4 linked regions of the Saccharomyces cerevisiae S288C genome follow. Changing the gene in region 2 together with the main gene of any one other region gives a genetic interaction. Each region holds a gene or a part of one and is shown on either strand. Other genes may lie near its edges. The genes, in order: SLX8, RPN4, CHO2 and UME6.

Region 1 (3,006 bases), on a different chromosome or scaffold from region 2:
ATTTTGTGAACAGTTATTGGTATACAGAGGATAAATCCAATGTAAATTGGAGGAAGAGTACGATTGCCATATATTAGAAACAGCCATATACAAGTTTGAACAAAATACAACTCAAAGTAAAATGGTAGCTGCACGACAAAAAGTAATTCCTTGAATTTTATTTATGTTGTACCTGGTAACCTTAATTTTTTTTTTTCTTTTCTTTGTAATACCTTAGCTCTGGTTATATGCTTGGTCCCCTTAATTGTTTATGTACCCACTACACATTAATATTGAGGGGAGGATTAAATACATACTCTGCCTTGATTAGTGCCTCTTTTTCTTTTGTCCTTTTTCCTTCATTTATAGCCATTTTTGTGTAGATGGTCCAAATTCCTCGGAGTGCTTTGTTTAATCAGAAAAAGTATCAATGAGCAGGAAGCAAAAAAAAAAAAGGTAAAAATTTACGATTGTGCTGGGGTTAAAGAACTCTCATCTCCTGATGAAAACCCGGCTACTCCATAGAATCTTCTTTTGAGTATGCCTGTAAAACGTACTTTAATAAAGAGAACACTCGGTTATTGACAGCTAGCTTTTTACCTTCTTCTTGACTTGCTTTTTCCTTAGAATAATTAACCTCACATCCTTTAAGTACACTTTACTTCTACAAAGAGCGCAATGGCCGAACTGTCTACATGTTCTTGAGCTATTAACCATTTGAAATAAGCATGGACAACAAAAGACGTGCCCACATAACGTCATGAGGGCTGTCTCTGGAGGTTCAAAACAAATCGGGCAGCGATAGTCCTTGGCTGCACCATACTCTTTGGGTGCTTCTTTGGTTTCCTCCTGAAAGTCGTCATCTGATATTTGCAACACTTGTTGCTCTTCAGCGTCTAAGTCTATGGCATCTGCAGTTAAATCAACAGTTTGTTCCTTACTATTTGTTCCAGGTTTCGTTGTCGGCGGTGCTGCGTCAAGCATCGGGGAAGCACTCGGAGTGTTTGCTGTTTGTGAAAGAACGTCCATTGTGTGCAATTCTTCAACATTATTCGTTAATGTGATATTGTTACCAGAACTTGCTTCTGGCTCTTCGGTATGCATTGTTTCCCTGTCATGATTCCCAGAATCGTTGTTACTGGTGTTATGGTCGCTACCTGGATCTTCTTCAAGTGCTCTAAAGAGAGATAAATCATCATCACCATCTTCCTCAGAAGTATTCTCAAGAGCTCGCTCTCCAATGATTTCGACTACGGCCTCTGGGCTGTCATGGCGGTTATCTGTGACGATATTTTGTGTTCTCGATACTTCATTTTCTTCCTCCTCATCGTTCTGCCTGACCGACTCTAGTCTTACCCTTTTGATTCGTAGATTTTCACCTTCTGGATTTTGGTTATCAGGTCTTCTTGCCATACAAGGTGTAATTAATTTACTCGTTTGTTACTTGGCCGCCCCTTTATATTGACTCAGTAGGGGAAAAAGTACTGTTGATCGAAGAAAGAAAGTTGTTCCTACTAATCTTCCGCATGCTCTAATATCTGACATATTATCCCTTCTCTTCTGTAATTTCCTAAAATACAAATAGATGTAGAAAACAGTTCTTTCTTTCCCTGTTGTATACATCCGTACACTTTTGTGAACCCAAACATTTTTTGTTTAATTTGAAAGATTTTTTTCTATTAGGAGCCGTCTCCTTCAATTCTCGGCAAAGCGAGGGTTCCTCTCATGCTTACTGTTCTCTTCCCCACCGGCAGCTGCTGGGAACCCTCCAACATGCTGTGCACGGGGGAGGGACAGTAGCTAACTACCTTTCACTTGGGCGGGAAACTGAAACTAATACGGTGCTGTCCCGGCTTGCGCCTCTGAGACTTACTGGAAGGAAGCCCACGGTTTCTTTTCAGTTGGATGGAGAGTTATAATCAAGAAGTATATAGATTTTGAATATTGATTAAGCGAGTAATATTGCTATTTCGAAATAATCGAGAAATCACGATAATAATACAGCAAAAATGTCAGGTAACGGTGCTCAAGGTACAAAATTCAGAATTTCTGTATGTTAAAACCGAAACAAGTGGAAATACCCATTTAAATCACACAAGATGTCGTCAATCAACAAATAAAAAAGTATATTCCCGAGACTGAATGTTACAATTGAGACAAGCAATGTTCAAGAAATGTGGGAGTCTATCAATGAATATAGTGGATAGCCAAAATGGAAGATGCCAAATTTATCCTTAATGGCTTCTCCATGCCTACATCCAGATAGCGAAATCTACTTCTGGGCCTTAAAGCGTTAAATGGATGCCTTTCCAACTGATTACTGAGAAGGTTACTTTTGTTAAGACTATTGGAAGTTCTATGCGGAATATACAAACTCCAAAAATGTCCAATTGTTGTAAGATCATTTATGTCCAAGAAATATATTTGTGTTGATGGTTCCATTCTTGCCAAGATAGGATTGATTTACTAACAGATTAATTGTGTGCTCATTTTTATGTGTCACTTACATTTTTTTTAAATAGTTAGGTTTACCAGTTGGTGCTATCATGAACTGTGCTGACAACAGTGGTGCCAGAAACTTGTACATCATTGCCGTCAAAGGTTCTGGTTCTAGATTGAACAGATTACCAGCCGCCTCTTTAGGTGACATGGTTATGGCCACTGTTAAAAAGGGTAAGCCAGAATTGAGAAAGAAGGTTATGCCAGCTATTGTTGTCCGTCAAGCTAAGTCTTGGAGAAGAAGAGACGGTGTCTTTTTGTACTTCGAGGACAATGCTGGTGTCATCGCTAATCCTAAGGGTGAAATGAAGGGTTCTGCCATTACTGGTCCAGTCGGTAAGGAATGTGCCGACTTATGGCCAAGAGTTGCTTCCAACTCTGGTGTTGTTGTTTAAATAAAATTTCCAAGAAAAATTCTTTTAAATCATTATGTAACCTTTTAAAATATTAATATAAACAATCCAAGTCAAGTCAATGACATGAGAGTGCATATATACATTGTTGGAGAATATTTCAGTGAAGCGGTTG
Region 2 (3,710 bases):
CAATCATGACATTGTATTACCGGATTCCGAATCTCTTCGTGAAGTGGTTTATAGATTGAATCCTTTTCTACAAAATGTCATATTAAAATTAGCCAATCAATATGATGAATCTTCATGCCTGATTGTGGGCCATGGAAGTTCAGTGAGATCGCTACTGAAAATTCTGGAGGGTATATCAGATGATGACATCAAGAATGTTGATATTCCAAATGGTATCCCCTTAGTCGTTGAATTAGATAAGAATAATGGTCTTAAGTTTATCAGAAAATTCTACCTAGATCCTGAATCTGCTAAGATCAATGCTGAGAAAGTCCGTAATGAGGGTTTCATAAAAAATCCTTAAGGGGGGTAAGTATATAATATAATTGTGTATTTTCCGAAGTATAATGAAAACCAATAGAAAACTTATTATAAGTCCAATGAGGTACTTTAAAAATGTGATATTTATAAGAACATTCCTGAATGCAGATATATGATATATATTGTAAATATATATAGATGTGTATATGTATTTCCATTTTGTGTGAGGTTTTCTTCTTTTATCTCCTATATAATTTGTAACCTTAATTAACCCATGACATAACCAATATTAGCCTTTGCAAATTTTGTAACTTCTTGACGTTGTTCTAACGACAAATCTTCATGCTTCGATTTTATATGCCTTGTTAAAGCATCCAGTCTCGAAAACGTCTTCTGATAGCCCTCAGATCCAAGAATTTTTATACACTCCGAGCAACGGAAGACAATCTTCCTTTTAGCGTGAATGGTATTTTGGTGTCTCGTTAAATCATAGGACCTTGAAAATTGGGCACCACACGGTTCATTTGTAATGAGATTCATTATCTGACACGTAAATATTTCGTTATTACCGTCAGAAGATGACGTATGGGCCGATGGTGATGCAGTCGAAGGTTTCGAATTCGAATTTGTAGATGAATGTGAAGATAAGTGCTTCTTAGTATAATTAATTAGCTTCCGCCTACTAGCATTTGAGCTTACTACAGCTGATGTAGGCTTCTTTATTCTTTCTAATGTGCCGTTTTCATTACTGTTACTAACGCAACTACGGTTACTGGATGATTTTGCTGGTTTCCTTTTACCGGTAGTAGCAGTAGACGGTACGTTTGCCGAGGTTGAGGGAGATGGAAATCTTTCAAAATCAATAGTGTTTTTATTGAGGACAAAACTTTGCTTTCTTCTGTTCTTCAAGAGAGAGATATCGTAGATATCGTCTTCATCAAGATCATTATCCTCATCCTCATCCTCTATCTTCTCATGTCCCCGTTCATCTAACAGATCTTCAGATACAACACTGGAAATGCTGTCCATGTTAGAGTCAACGTAACTGTACTCATTAAATAAATGACTAGAACTCTTGGCACGACCCGTTTTTTGATCTGAGCCAAACATTGAGATTGGTGTAACATCCAATGACAGTAAAGGCTCCTCTTGGTGTTGCTCTTGTTGCAAACAATTTTCTTCTATTTCATCCTCTTCATCATCACTGATATCGTCGTCATCAGAGTCAAATTCATTGTTAAAAATAGCTCTCGCATCCTCATTGTTTATTGCGGCGCTATTATCTTGAAGTGACCACTGCATTTTCGGATTATAATTATCCTCATAGAAAAGCACTTCTTCATCATTACCATATAGATTGTCACCGTTATCGAAAAAATCGTTGGAAATTTTAACATCATAATTGAACGTATTCCGTGTCGGTACATACGGGTCTGATACTTTCATTATATTCTTTAGATTGACGGTCTTCTGCAATGGGGTTTCGCTAGCACCCTTAATCTCGTTTGGTATGAGATGGACATTATTAATCTGTCTATCGTTGGCCGTTGCTTCACTAGTCGTAAAAGAGGTGGTGGTAGTTAAAGTAGGATCCGCGTATTTGTTGAATATCGGGAAATGGTAGGTTTGTTGTGGGGGTATCGAAGCTGCACTCGATTCATTCTGGTGTTGTAATGAATGATTCCACGTAAAAGTGTTGTTTTCCTTGTTCTTATTCACCAACTTATATGGAGTAATACTAGCATTTGGATGATAGTTTTGATAATGACTCGTAAACTGACTGTGACCTGGATTAGTATGGTACAACTCGTCTTCTAAAATATCCGTTAAGGTTCTTTTTAGGCTAAGTTCCGTAGAAGCCATGATTGCTTGAAAATTCTAGAAAACTTTTGAAAAGATACAAATTAGCTATTAGTACTATCTACTATTAGTTCAACTAAAAAGCGGAGTTCTTCCTTGAGGAGAAAAGGATGAACAAAATGGAACTGATCTACTCCTTAAATATTCCACGCCAAGAAGAAAAAAGAGTTTCGGGTTTATCTTTAATTTATATTAGAGATAAAACGTATCCTCCTCCTTGAACGATAAAAAATTATCCGTGTGGGTTAGGCTGCTCATCCCGGGCTTTCCCCAAATTGGGCTTCGAACTATTCTTTCCTTATATAGAATTGCTCTCCTCAACAAGTTTCGCCGAAACGGAACTTTCTAGAACCATCACTGTAAACGGCTATTAGTAATAGCGATCACGTGATTATCCGTGGAAAGGTTCGTACGGGCTGAGGCACCTTTCTTTGAGTTCCACGGAACTTGTTATTACAGGAACAGAAAGGTAGTAAAAAAAGAAGTAACGTCCTCTCAGTGCATATAGTTTGATCTCTATAACAATCCGTAGTTGGTTTTCTCAACAATTAATATTGAATACGTTAGTGATGATTGGTTTTCAACCTCTGCCGCTAATTTAGGCACAGTTCTATCGCAGCCGTAATGGAGGCATTATATAGCACTTTAGCGTCGTAACGAAGGGTTATGGTAACCGCCTAACGATTTTATTTACTCGCTTGTTGCTTGCTTTGTAATTGGTTATATGGATTTCAAAATAATATGGTCATCTGACCATGGTGACATAACCAAAGTGTTCGAAAAGATAACTAAATTGATACATCTAGGAAAACTGAAGGAAATCCCTATTGTTAAGTAAACATACTATATATGCCAAAAGAAACAAATGTGCGGTAGAATAAAATACAATTCAGTACAATAAAATACATTCAAAATACATACAAGTACCAGGAAAAAAGCTCGCATAAAAAAGGCGTGTTAAAAAATGTCACCACAATCTTTCAAATCATGATCTCTTCTTTTAACCCAATATTTGCCCGTATATCTCCAATATTTAGCTTTTGTGATGGGATGAGTATCCCTGACGAACCATTGTGGGTGATATTCAAGGTTATTTTCCTCCCTTTTTCTGCGTGCTGCTCTTTGCTTTTCTTCAACTCTGAATTTCTCATCACCAGCTTCGTCATAACGCCCATCTTCCATTGCTCTTTGATCTGGTCTCAAACGTGTATCTGTGGGGGGTAACCATGGCAATAGATGTGGTTGTGGAGCATTCAGCGTGATAGCAAAAGGTGTTAAATTGAATGGCTCCTCAGGACGGTCGTTTGCCTTCCATATTAAAAACTTCGTTCCGTCATCCGTAGGCCCATTCCCTGCTGATGCAGCGGTTCTAGTTTTCTCCAACGAGAGATCGCCATCTTTTACTACTTTCTTGGCAAAAATAGCTTCATTCCAGTGTCCTCCTAGGATCCACACCTTCTGTTTTTTCTTGTTGTAGACTTCGCCTGTGATTTCATATGCTCCTGATGACCTCCATCCCCTTGCTTTGAAATACAACTTGCAATGATCAC
Region 3 (5,117 bases), on a different chromosome or scaffold from region 2:
AATAATCCTCAGGACGACGATTCGCAAAGCAAAATGATGTCTTCTCAAATATCATCTCTCATACCACATTGTATCACTAGTATAACGCTAGCCTTAGCTGATGCCGGCATCGAATTAGTGGATATGGCAGGTGCCGGTGAGGCCAATGGCACTGTCGTATCATTCATCAAAAATGGAGAGGAAATTGTAGGTTTTTGGAAGGATGATGGTGACGATGAAGATCTTTTGGAATGCCTTGATCGTTGCAAGGAGCAATATAACCGTTATAGAGATTTAATGATAAGCTGTTTAATGAACCAGGAAACTTAGACACGAGATTATCCTAGTCGGAAAGAAAAGTGAAAGAGGTTAAGAAAAAATTCATGGTAAAAGAAGCGCACAAAGGCATTGTACATCAACATCATAATTTATAATGTCATTCTGCATATATGGTAGCTCCATTATATTACAACAACATAACTACTTCTATTCAAAATGTTAACTTGAATCCTAGTACTTTTTAAATATATATACTCAAAAAAAAAAAACTCAAGCAAGACTATCAAGCGTTTGTTTTATATCCCAAGCGCGATGCGAAATAACGTGAGCGTCACCATTGACTCTCCTCATATACTCAGACGAAAGTTCGACGCCAATTGAGTTCTTAATCAATTGTTTCAAGCTGTCCATCCCGAAGAACTTATTTCCTAATGGACGAAATTTACCATCCTTCAAAACGTTGACTTTCGTCAAAAACTCAGTCAAATCCTTCTCAAACAGTTCAGGTGTCGTGGTATTTAGTACCGGCAATGAAATTTCAAATGGTGTAGAAATCAATAACACCTTATGGGAGTTACCAGAATGATACCTAAATTCGTAGATACCATTTTCAAAATAAAGCAAAGACGTGTCGAATGTCACTTTACCTTGAACGTACTTTTCAGTCGCCTTTATTTCTGTTACAGATTCTTTATGTCTTAATCCATGGTTCATATATGAATCTTTAGAAGTCGCACTCCAATGACCACCTGATCCAACTCTTGTTTTTTCACGATCTGCCCTTGTATCAATGACTTTATACAAACCAATCCAATCATCTCCGTTATAAAGTTCAATGGGCATTTTCCAATTCAAAGTTACTGGAGTAGGCAAGACAAAATTGGTTTCTACCTGCTCGTTTTCAATTTTCAATTCACAGTATGGACTCAATCTTGTTGCAACGCTATCCATTGCTTCCTGAATTAAAATATTCCATTCTTTGTTATCTTGATAATTTTTGGGCAAAAGTTCTGCCCCACCATTGGAGTTCTTGCTTTCATCAACTAATGATTTGATTATAATATTTTCAATTCTATTGACAATATCTGAAACTTGTCTTAGAGGTTTCAAGCCTAGTAAAGTTTTTCCAACACCACTAACTCGTTTAGTTTTACCATATATCTTATTAACATGAGGTGTTTCAATAAACTTGACAAGAATAAAATTTGTCAATGTCCATAAAACAGCCAAGATAATATTTGTAACGGCAAAATTCGTCATCAATACAGTACCCCAAACTCCAACAACGCCTAATACCGCTTCTGGGTGATTCAAATATCTGTAGATACCTTGGGAAGTCAGCTTTCTAGTTGAGATATAGTTGCTCAAGAAAAAATCACCATAAAACCAACCAAAATCAGAGATTGCTAGTCTCGTTTCCTTATCACACCATGTTTGTAAAGCCACAAGAATTAAACCAAAAATTAATTGACTGTTGTTTATGTTGGAAAAATTACTCCAAATTTGAAGCCCTGTATGAATTATCATAAGTGTGTAGGTTAATACCAAATAATAATTGTAAATAAATTGCCATTGCTCATAGGAATAAACTTGTGTGTAACCATTCTCCAAAAACAATCTCGTGAACCATTTAGACTGAGATTGCTTGTACAATATTGTCGAGATAAATAACCATGAAACCAGTTTTGTTACAAAAACGGTAATAAAGAGGTAATTTAAATTGATAAACCTAGCATTCATGATTGTTCCTAACATAAGTGCCGCTACGGTACCAATTGTGAAATAGTCAGTAAATCTTAGCTTATTGAAGTTGTTAAAAGAAAGACCCATGTTAATTAGAGGTCTTGAATAATCGTAATTCTCTTTTGATATCAAGTCATCAATTCTGCTATTCATTTGAGAATCGGAATCAGTGCCATCACCATACGTTCTTTCAATATGAGGATTTTCGACGTATTTCAGAAACAAAAATTGAGAATAATGTCCAAATACGGACACCAGAAGAACCTTGTAGTCATTACAAATCAATGATAGGCCATAATAACCCAAATAACCAATAGAATACATTGGATGTGGAGAGATGTTGAAGACACCATCAAAAATCAATTCAGATTCTTCCAAAAAGAAGAAATCACCCCAGTACCAAGCATAATCTTTAACCACGCGATGCGCATCTAACTTGACCCAGATGTTAAATAAAATCAAAATAACACCTAGCAAAGATCTCCAGTTGAAGATTTGAACCCAGCTATATGGAATAGAAAGGTAAACGTAAATAATGTAAGTCACAAAATCTTGCATCAAGATTAAATCGACAAACTGGCGAAATATCAACCAGACGTTGATCTCTTCTGGATAGGCAAATAAATCATACTCCTTTGGCATTTTAGACCTAATCTCATATTGACAGAACTTCCTAATAAAATTCCAAAATTTTTCTGAAAAGGAATTGGAATTTGTTGAGAAATTCGAATTAGCATCTTTATTCTGTGGTATTTTGCTGAAAATCGCATGAGTTTTAGCACAATTCGTTAGTGTTTCATAATGTGACTGGTAATGCAGAACCAGTCCAATACCTAAATTATAAGCAATTCTCCAAAATAAATACTGTACCAGAAAAAAGTATTTGGTAAACTGTAAGCCAAACCTTTGGAAGACCCAATAACAAATGAAAAAATTCGATATAATAGCTAGCGCGATGCATTTTTCCAGCAGAGATTTCTTCAAAGTTGGATCGAAAAGCGAACGCACCATATCGTGGGTTACAGGTGGTTTGAAAGTTACATTACTCGAACGTGTTCTGGCTTCGACGTTGATAGTGCCCCTATCTTTTGTCACAGAACCAACCATTTCAGACAAAGTGGTTTTACAACTGGACATCTACAGATGAAGAAAAAGCTTTGTCACTAAGAAAATCACTCGAAATATTCAGGGCGGAATTTTTTTTTTCAAAATAGCCTTGATAGGTTACTTTTACCTTTCTTGTTAATGAAATCCTGGATTGTTAGGTTGAACTAACGTATAAAATTAGGGGATAAAATGAAGAAAAGAAGATAAACTAATCAAAGAGGCAAAAAAAAAGGTCCTTTGAATCAAACTCTACTATATTAGTTATATTTTGAAGATTTGGTGTGAACTCTTCACATGAGAAGGGAATAAAAGGGAACACAGTGGAAAGAATCTGTATTTTCATATGCCTACTTATAAATTCACATGTGTCGGAGATCCACGTTATCTAACATTTGAGGTTTTGCCGTTTCTGGCATCGCCGTTCATTTTCACAGTTTTGTGTGGAAAACTTCGCGAATAATGAATGCGGCATGAGAAAAGTGTGGCAATTGACTGTCTTGACCAATTTAAACCAAGGCAAAAATATATATTTAACAAGGCAAACATTTAATGTTGGAAGTTTAGTGCCGCTTTTAGTGATAAGAGGTACAGATGCAAGAACCATCTAATTAGGTGTGGTTTTCTGATACGCTATGGCTCTGATTACTTAGATTATATATTCTTTTCTAAAGTTTTCCACCATAAGTTGCTGGTCACTTGGTAAACTTTGGATCTGGGCAGGTGTCAAAGTAAGAACTTGTTTGATCATATCTTGTTGGTTTTCAGGTAGTAATTGCAGTTTCGCCATATTAATGGTGCCGCTGTCATTCGCTTTATTCGCGTTAGAGGGTCCTTCTGTAGAACTTATATTTTGTTGCTGGACCTGGCCGAGTTGATTTGCCAACACAGGCTGTCCCATGGAGGGGCCTTGAGCTGGAGGCATGAAAGGGCCCGGTGGCGCAAAACCGAACGGTTGTTGTTGCAGAGGTAAAGGGATAAATGGTGGTGTCGACATAGGCATTGGCATAGCTACGTTCAGTGGCATATTGTTAGGATTGTTGCTGACTTCATTAGAAGGTACATGCAACGGAGTGTTATTTCTAATTACGCTTACGGGGGTGTTCGAATTACTTGTGTTATTACTCGAAAGCAAAGATGGGGCCTCGCCAACTTGGGATTTCAACACTTTAGTCACCACGCTGTAGTCTATAAATCCCATTTCTAGTAGGGCTTGGGTCACTGATATTGTGATATCACTGTTAGTATCTAAGAAAGATTCTAATTGCGATTTTTGGATGTTTTCTTGGTTTGATAATATTTTCAAATTTGATATAATTTCAATAAGTTGCAACGGCGGAATTTTACTTAAATTTTGTGAAATTTTGTCTGGTGCAATAATCGAGCCATCTTGGAAACTTGGCAAGTGTTTAGATGCTTTACTTAGTATGTCGGGGAATTGAATGTTTGTGTTATTTGATACAGAGTTTGTGTTATTTGCAGCCTGTGGTGGCGGTGGTCGCCTAGGAATGGGGACTTCTGTCACCATTTCGAAAGGTAGCTCCAAACCCGCCTCGAAGGGGTACGAATCTCTATTAAGTTGTAATACCTGCTTTTGAGAATTTTTATTTGCTGTTTCTCTAAGATGGTCCTTATAATTTGGTGGGATTATTTGCTCTATCTTTACGGGAAAGTTTTCAATTCTATTTAAAATTTCCCAAGCGCGTTTACAATCTTTACTAGTCAAATAATCGAACAGTACACCGGTTAGTTTACCAGTTCTCGGGTCATTCTTAGCTTTTATATCTATAACTGGACCAGAACCGGCCACGACCGAAGTAATTATATCTTGGTTCCATTCTGGAGGTAAGTTTGTGATTTGTAATGTAGAGGATAAATTCTCCGGTGTCAAGAAATGACGGCCTGTTCTTCTTCTGGGATCTGTCATCAATTTTTTTCCTTCGTTCTTCGTTCTTCGTCTTCTCCAGTTGTGAGTTTTCTAAATATACCTATATATAAAATAATAAAATCTA
Region 4 (4,787 bases), 450 kb from region 2:
TTATAATGCACAAAATTTACAATGGCAGAGCGAAGCTTACTCATTAAAGTCAATGAATTTTGCAAATCCAACGTGGCTAGGTGACCAGTACCAGACATCTGCGCCGTCGTCAGCATATGCGCAAGCGCAACGGCAAATGTTTCAACAACCTATGCAGCAAGATGTGGGGAAGTACATGCAATTTCCTTTTGACGCCCAAAGCAACACGGACAGCATGAGGGGAAACAGTCGGAATAATATGTTTTAATATTGTTCGTTTTTTATCATAGTTTTTCAAATCTTCATATGAATACTAGGTAGAAATTTGGCTTATCAGTACGAATGAATTACAGTTTGACTGATTTGTACACGAGAATTGACGTATAACTTCTTTTGAAAGTCTTTGAAATTACATGGTAGTACATACATATATATATATATATATATATGTTATATTATTGTTAATTAAATATTATTATGCGTATTTTCCTTTTCTTTATTAGTATAGTATTAATGACAGTAATAATAATAATAATAGTAACAATATCTCTTTTTTTTTTTCAGTGAGCTTTTATTTTTTTTTCATTGCTCTTCTTTTGGCCTCTTTTGTTTTTTTCTTGATTTCCTCCAGTTTCATCTGTTTTTTCTTTGGATCAGATACAAAATCTGGTTTGAACGCGTCATAGTGACAGTCCAATTTCAACCTTTCACAGTTGAAACAGTGCGGTCTTTCCTCGGTACACTTCTTTTTCCTTAATCTACAAATCCAGCAACCAGTACGGGACCTTGTACCTTGAGACGTTGAGGAAGTAGCATTATTCGATTCTTGAGAATTGTTTGCTTTTGATTTCGAAGTAGTATTATTTGGTCTTTTCTTTGATGACTGTTTCGCCTTTGATTTTGCCTTAGGCTTGACATTTTTTCCTTTAGATTTAGCGAAATCCGGCGAAGTAGCGTTAGGATAATCAGCGGTATATGCCAAGCCAGAAGAAGCCTTCAAAGATGGAGACGATGGAGCTGACGAAGTTGAGGATTCGCCAAGAGAATTATAATCGCTATTGGTTTGGCTTGCTACTCTTGCGTTTCCAACTGACCTTCTCGATTTTTTCAATGGTGGAACTTCCAGTTGCTGTTGTTGTTCTGGAGCAGAAAGGCGTCTGTCTATTCGCTTACCATTCTTATTCCAAGTAACTTGCCTTGTCCTTGACTCAAAAGTGGGATCTAAAACCTTTTTAGAGTTTAGATTTAAATGGTAAGGAGACAAGTCTTGATTTTGGTCCTGGTCTTCATCAAAAACAGCTGTAGAATTGTTGCTTTCGAAAATGGGTTGTTGTTCGGAATTATGGATACGTAACAGAATTGGTCTTAAGACACCCTTTGATGGAAAAGATGACGAATGAGGCCTACTAGCCGGCACACCGAGCGCATTTGTGTTATTCATGTCATTGACATTGGAAATGGGTTTATCATGAGTTCTATATGGGGATGATCTCATGTTTGATAGCACTGCTGCTGCTGTACCCAAGTCGTCGTCTAGTTTGGTAGATGAAGATGCAGAATTCGGACCGAGCAATAATCTTGATCTCAATCCATCCAATTTAGAATTGATGTATTTCGGTGGAGGTGGTGGGATGTATTGTTCATTTGTATGGAAGGGACTATTTCTATTGTTACGATTCGGCAAATCGCCGTAAAAAAACCCAGTAGAAGGTCTTGACGAAGTGGCAAACGGGTCTTCACCGCGATTGATATTGTTCCGTTGAGGGTTGTTGTTGTTTGTGCTTGTAAACGAAGATGCGGAAGTTGGAGGTTGAGAAGGTATTTGGTTGAACCTAAAATGCTGGAAATTGTTTCTGCTGGTAATGGAAGAGCTGGTGTTCGCATGTCGAGAGTTTGTAGGCGTATCCGTGTTTGAACTAGCATTGTTGGAGGATGATTCATTCAAAGAATAAGCCTCATCTCTGTATTTCGAATTTAGCCAGAACGATATGTTGATTTTTGATTCGTTCTCGTCCAGTTTTACATTTGGGTCTGTTATCTCTCTATCCTTGTTGAAATAGAAGTTCCTGGGCGCCACGCCCACGGCACATTGGTCATCATGCACATTATGCTGGACCTGAGAGTCGTTAGATGGACTGCCGCCGCGCTTAGTTCCGCCGCGCAAATACCCGCCAATCTCATTGTTATTAGAGGATTCTCTCGAATCTGAGCTTTGTATCGAATTATTGTCGTTGTTGTTGGTACTGTTGTTTCTGCTCAGTATCGACATAGGCGAATTGGTAGTCTTACCGTTGTTCTTGTTGGCGCTGGTAATGATGAGCGGCAAATCCGATCCTGTGCGGGAACGGATGCCCGAGCCCGTGCCCGCGCCCGAGCCTGCTGCGGTGGTACCGGGGGAAGAAACCGCTGGAGCTTGTGGTGGCGGCAAATGTATTTTTTTTTTGGCGCCGGCGACGATAGTAGTAGTGGCAGTGTTACTATTAGTGGAGGTGGAGGAGTAAGGGAAAACATCCTCGTTGGTTGCAGTATACTGCGGCTGAATAGCACCGGAAATTTGTGGGTCTGTAGCCTGTGCGACATGGCCATTGCACAATGACTTAGGATCCGAAGGTGTATTGGAAGGCGCGAGTGGGCTGGCGGCAGCATGCACAGCGTTATCGCTGTCACGGCGATCTTGAAGTGTAGTATTGGTCGTAGTAGTAGTATCGTTTTCCTTAGGATCGTCTTTGATATCTCCGCCACTTTGGACTTTCAAACTCGGCGAACCAGACGGAGTATGCACGGGAGTGTTGTTGGGCGCACATGTCGATTTCATAATAGAAAGCAAAGGGTTTTCATCGTAGGTTGTCTTGAGAGATTCGATGCTAGCACTGGAAATTGTAGGATGGCGGGAGTTAGCTCCATCACTAACTTCATCTTCTGCATGTTTTTTGCCGTCTTGGCTGCTATTCATCAGCGTGGCACGAGATGTTTTATTGTGCAAATAGTGATGATTGTTGGCGGTTGTTTCCATCGAAAGCAGAGAGGCAGCCGCATTAGATTCGTCCATGTGTTTGCTTTGAGAGCGCGCCTTGTCTAGCATCGTGAGTTAAGGTCCATGCAAATGGTTTGAGTGCGGTAGTGTCCTAGTTCCTGTGCGCTGTGCGAAGGTGGGCGCTTCTTACGATCACTGGTCTCTTGTCCTTGTCCTCTATGTTCTTTTCATTTTTCTTTTTGACGGCGGCAGTTTCCGCCTGGCATTGGTGAAAAGGCGCCTTGAAGCACGGCGGACGTGTCACCCGGACCGAAACAGAAGAGAAGTAGCGCAGTCTTGGCAATTATAGGATGCCCGAAATCCAACGTGCATTCTATTCTCGTGATTATTCTCGTGATTTCGTGTGCAACCAATGGACTTTAAAAACTGCGCTCTACTACTTGTAGCAATGCATGTTTTGGGCAAGTGGGGTTGAGTGGAGTGTCACCTCAGACGACGTGTCGCTTTTGTATATCCGTTTTTACGGACATAAGAACGTGCCGCCCATTCTGGGAAAACAAAACACAGGTTAAAAAAAAAAAGAAAGGAATGGATGGGGAATGGGACAGAGAGGAAAGATAGAGGTGGAAATAACAAAAGCGTGACAACAAAGAAGCAAATACGGAGGGACAAGCAAAGAAAAAACAAGGACAGAAACAAAAAATAGGAACAAGAAGTAGCACATTCATAAGCAAGAGAGTACGAAACCTGTTTACACCCCCCGAGACAGTTGCCCTATATCGCTTTTCCCTATCAATAGTTTCTAACTCATGTCAGTCTTGCGATCACAACCTCCTTCAGTTGTACCGCTACATCTGACAACATCCACCAGTCGCAAAACAGAACAGGAACCATCGCTATTGCACTCTGCAATAATTGAGCGACATCAAGACCGTTCGGTGCCGAATTCGAATTCGAATCCGGATTCGAACCATCGAATAAAAAAGGATCGCAATAATCACACTAGCTACCATTCTTCATCGAATTCGGAGTCAAACATGGAAAGTCCTCGCTTGTCAGATGGTGAGTCTTCCACTCCGACCTCTATTGAAGAGTTAAACCCAACAATAAATAATTCGAGGCTGGTGAAGAGAAACTACTCAATATCAATTGATCCTTTGCATGACAACAGCAATAATAATACGGATGATGATCATCCAAACACCATAACTTCTCCCCGACCAAATAGCACTAGTAACAAGGAAATGCAGAAATATAGTTTTCCCGAAGGTAAGGAGTCGAAGAAAATAACAACACCCTCGTTAAACTCGAATAATTGTTTGGATTTGGACAATTCCAGTCTTGTTCACACAGATTCGTATATACAAGACTTAAATGACGATCATATTTTACTAAACAAGCGCGTTTCGAGGCGATCTTCCAGAATATCGGCAGTAACAGCAACTTCCACGACAATTAAGCAAAGAAGAAATACTCAGGATTCAAACCTGCCCAATATTCCCTTTCACGCTTCCAAGCATTCTCAAATTCTACCTATGGATGATTCAGATGTAATAAAATTGGCCAATGGAGATACCAGCATGAAACCAAATTCTGCTACTAAAATTAGTCACTCAATGACTTCTTTGCCTCTTCACCCACTTCCACAACCTTCTCAAAAGTCAAAGCAATATCATATGATATCCAAATCAACCACTTCTTTGCCGCCAGAGAATGACCACTACTATCAACACAGTCGTGGCACCAACCATAATCACGCTGCTAATGCTGCTGCTGTTAATAATAATACTACTACTACTACCGCTGCTACGGGTCTGAAAAGATCAGAGTCTGC

What was found.
Region 1: mutations in RPN4 (region 2) and SLX8 together harm fitness more than expected from each alone (negative genetic interaction), as found in Saccharomyces cerevisiae (5 studies listed by BioGRID, with this or other methods).
Region 3: mutations in RPN4 (region 2) and CHO2 impair growth when combined (synthetic growth defect), as found in Saccharomyces cerevisiae (5 studies listed by BioGRID, with this or other methods).
Region 4: mutations in RPN4 (region 2) and UME6 together harm fitness more than expected from each alone (negative genetic interaction), as found in Saccharomyces cerevisiae (6 studies listed by BioGRID, with this or other methods).

Annotation. Positions count from the first base shown.
Region 1 is NC_001137.3:394,781-397,786, forward strand, and holds SLX8 (SUMO-targeted ubiquitin ligase complex subunit SLX8), read right to left. Parts: upstream 1,393-3,006; coding exon 568-1,392; downstream 1-567. Other genes in the region: SPR6 (Spr6p), read right to left, coding at 1-87; 60S ribosomal protein uL14 RPL23B, read left to right, coding at 1,989-2,030, 2,502-2,873. UniProt on the Saccharomyces cerevisiae protein: Component of the SUMO-targeted ubiquitin ligase (STUbL) complex SLX5/SLX8 that mediates ubiquitination and subsequent desumoylation of sumoylated proteins and proteins containing SUMO-like domains for their degradation.
Region 2 is NC_001136.10:414,546-418,255, forward strand, and holds RPN4 (stress-regulated transcription factor RPN4), read right to left. Parts: upstream 2,164-3,710; coding exon 568-2,163; downstream 1-567. Other genes in the region: phosphoglycerate mutase family protein GPM2, read left to right, coding at 1-343; oxysterol-binding protein related protein OSH2, read right to left, coding at 3,118-3,710. UniProt on the Saccharomyces cerevisiae protein: Acts as a transcriptional activator of a number of genes encoding proteasomal subunits. Binds to a PACE (proteasome-associated control element) DNA sequence 5'-GGTGGCAAA-3'.
Region 3 is NC_001139.9:800,461-805,577, reverse strand, and holds CHO2 (phosphatidylethanolamine N-methyltransferase), read right to left. Parts: upstream 3,139-5,117; coding exon 529-3,138; downstream 1-528. Other genes in the region: exosome non-catalytic core subunit MTR3, read left to right, coding at 1-309; cleavage polyadenylation factor subunit PTI1, read right to left, coding at 3,755-5,032. UniProt on the Saccharomyces cerevisiae protein: Catalyzes the first step of the methylation pathway of phosphatidylcholine biosynthesis, the SAM-dependent methylation of phosphatidylethanolamine (PE) to phosphatidylmonomethylethanolamine (PMME). Preferentially converts di-C16:1 substrates.
Region 4 is NC_001136.10:864,462-869,248, forward strand, and holds UME6 (DNA-binding transcriptional regulator UME6), read right to left. Parts: upstream 3,062-4,787; coding exon 551-3,061; downstream 1-550. Other genes in the region: EBS1 (Ebs1p), read left to right, coding at 1-247; MSS4 (1-phosphatidylinositol-4-phosphate 5-kinase), read left to right, coding at 3,763-4,787. UniProt on the Saccharomyces cerevisiae protein: Component of the RPD3C(L) histone deacetylase complex (HDAC) responsible for the deacetylation of lysine residues on the N-terminal part of the core histones (H2A, H2B, H3 and H4).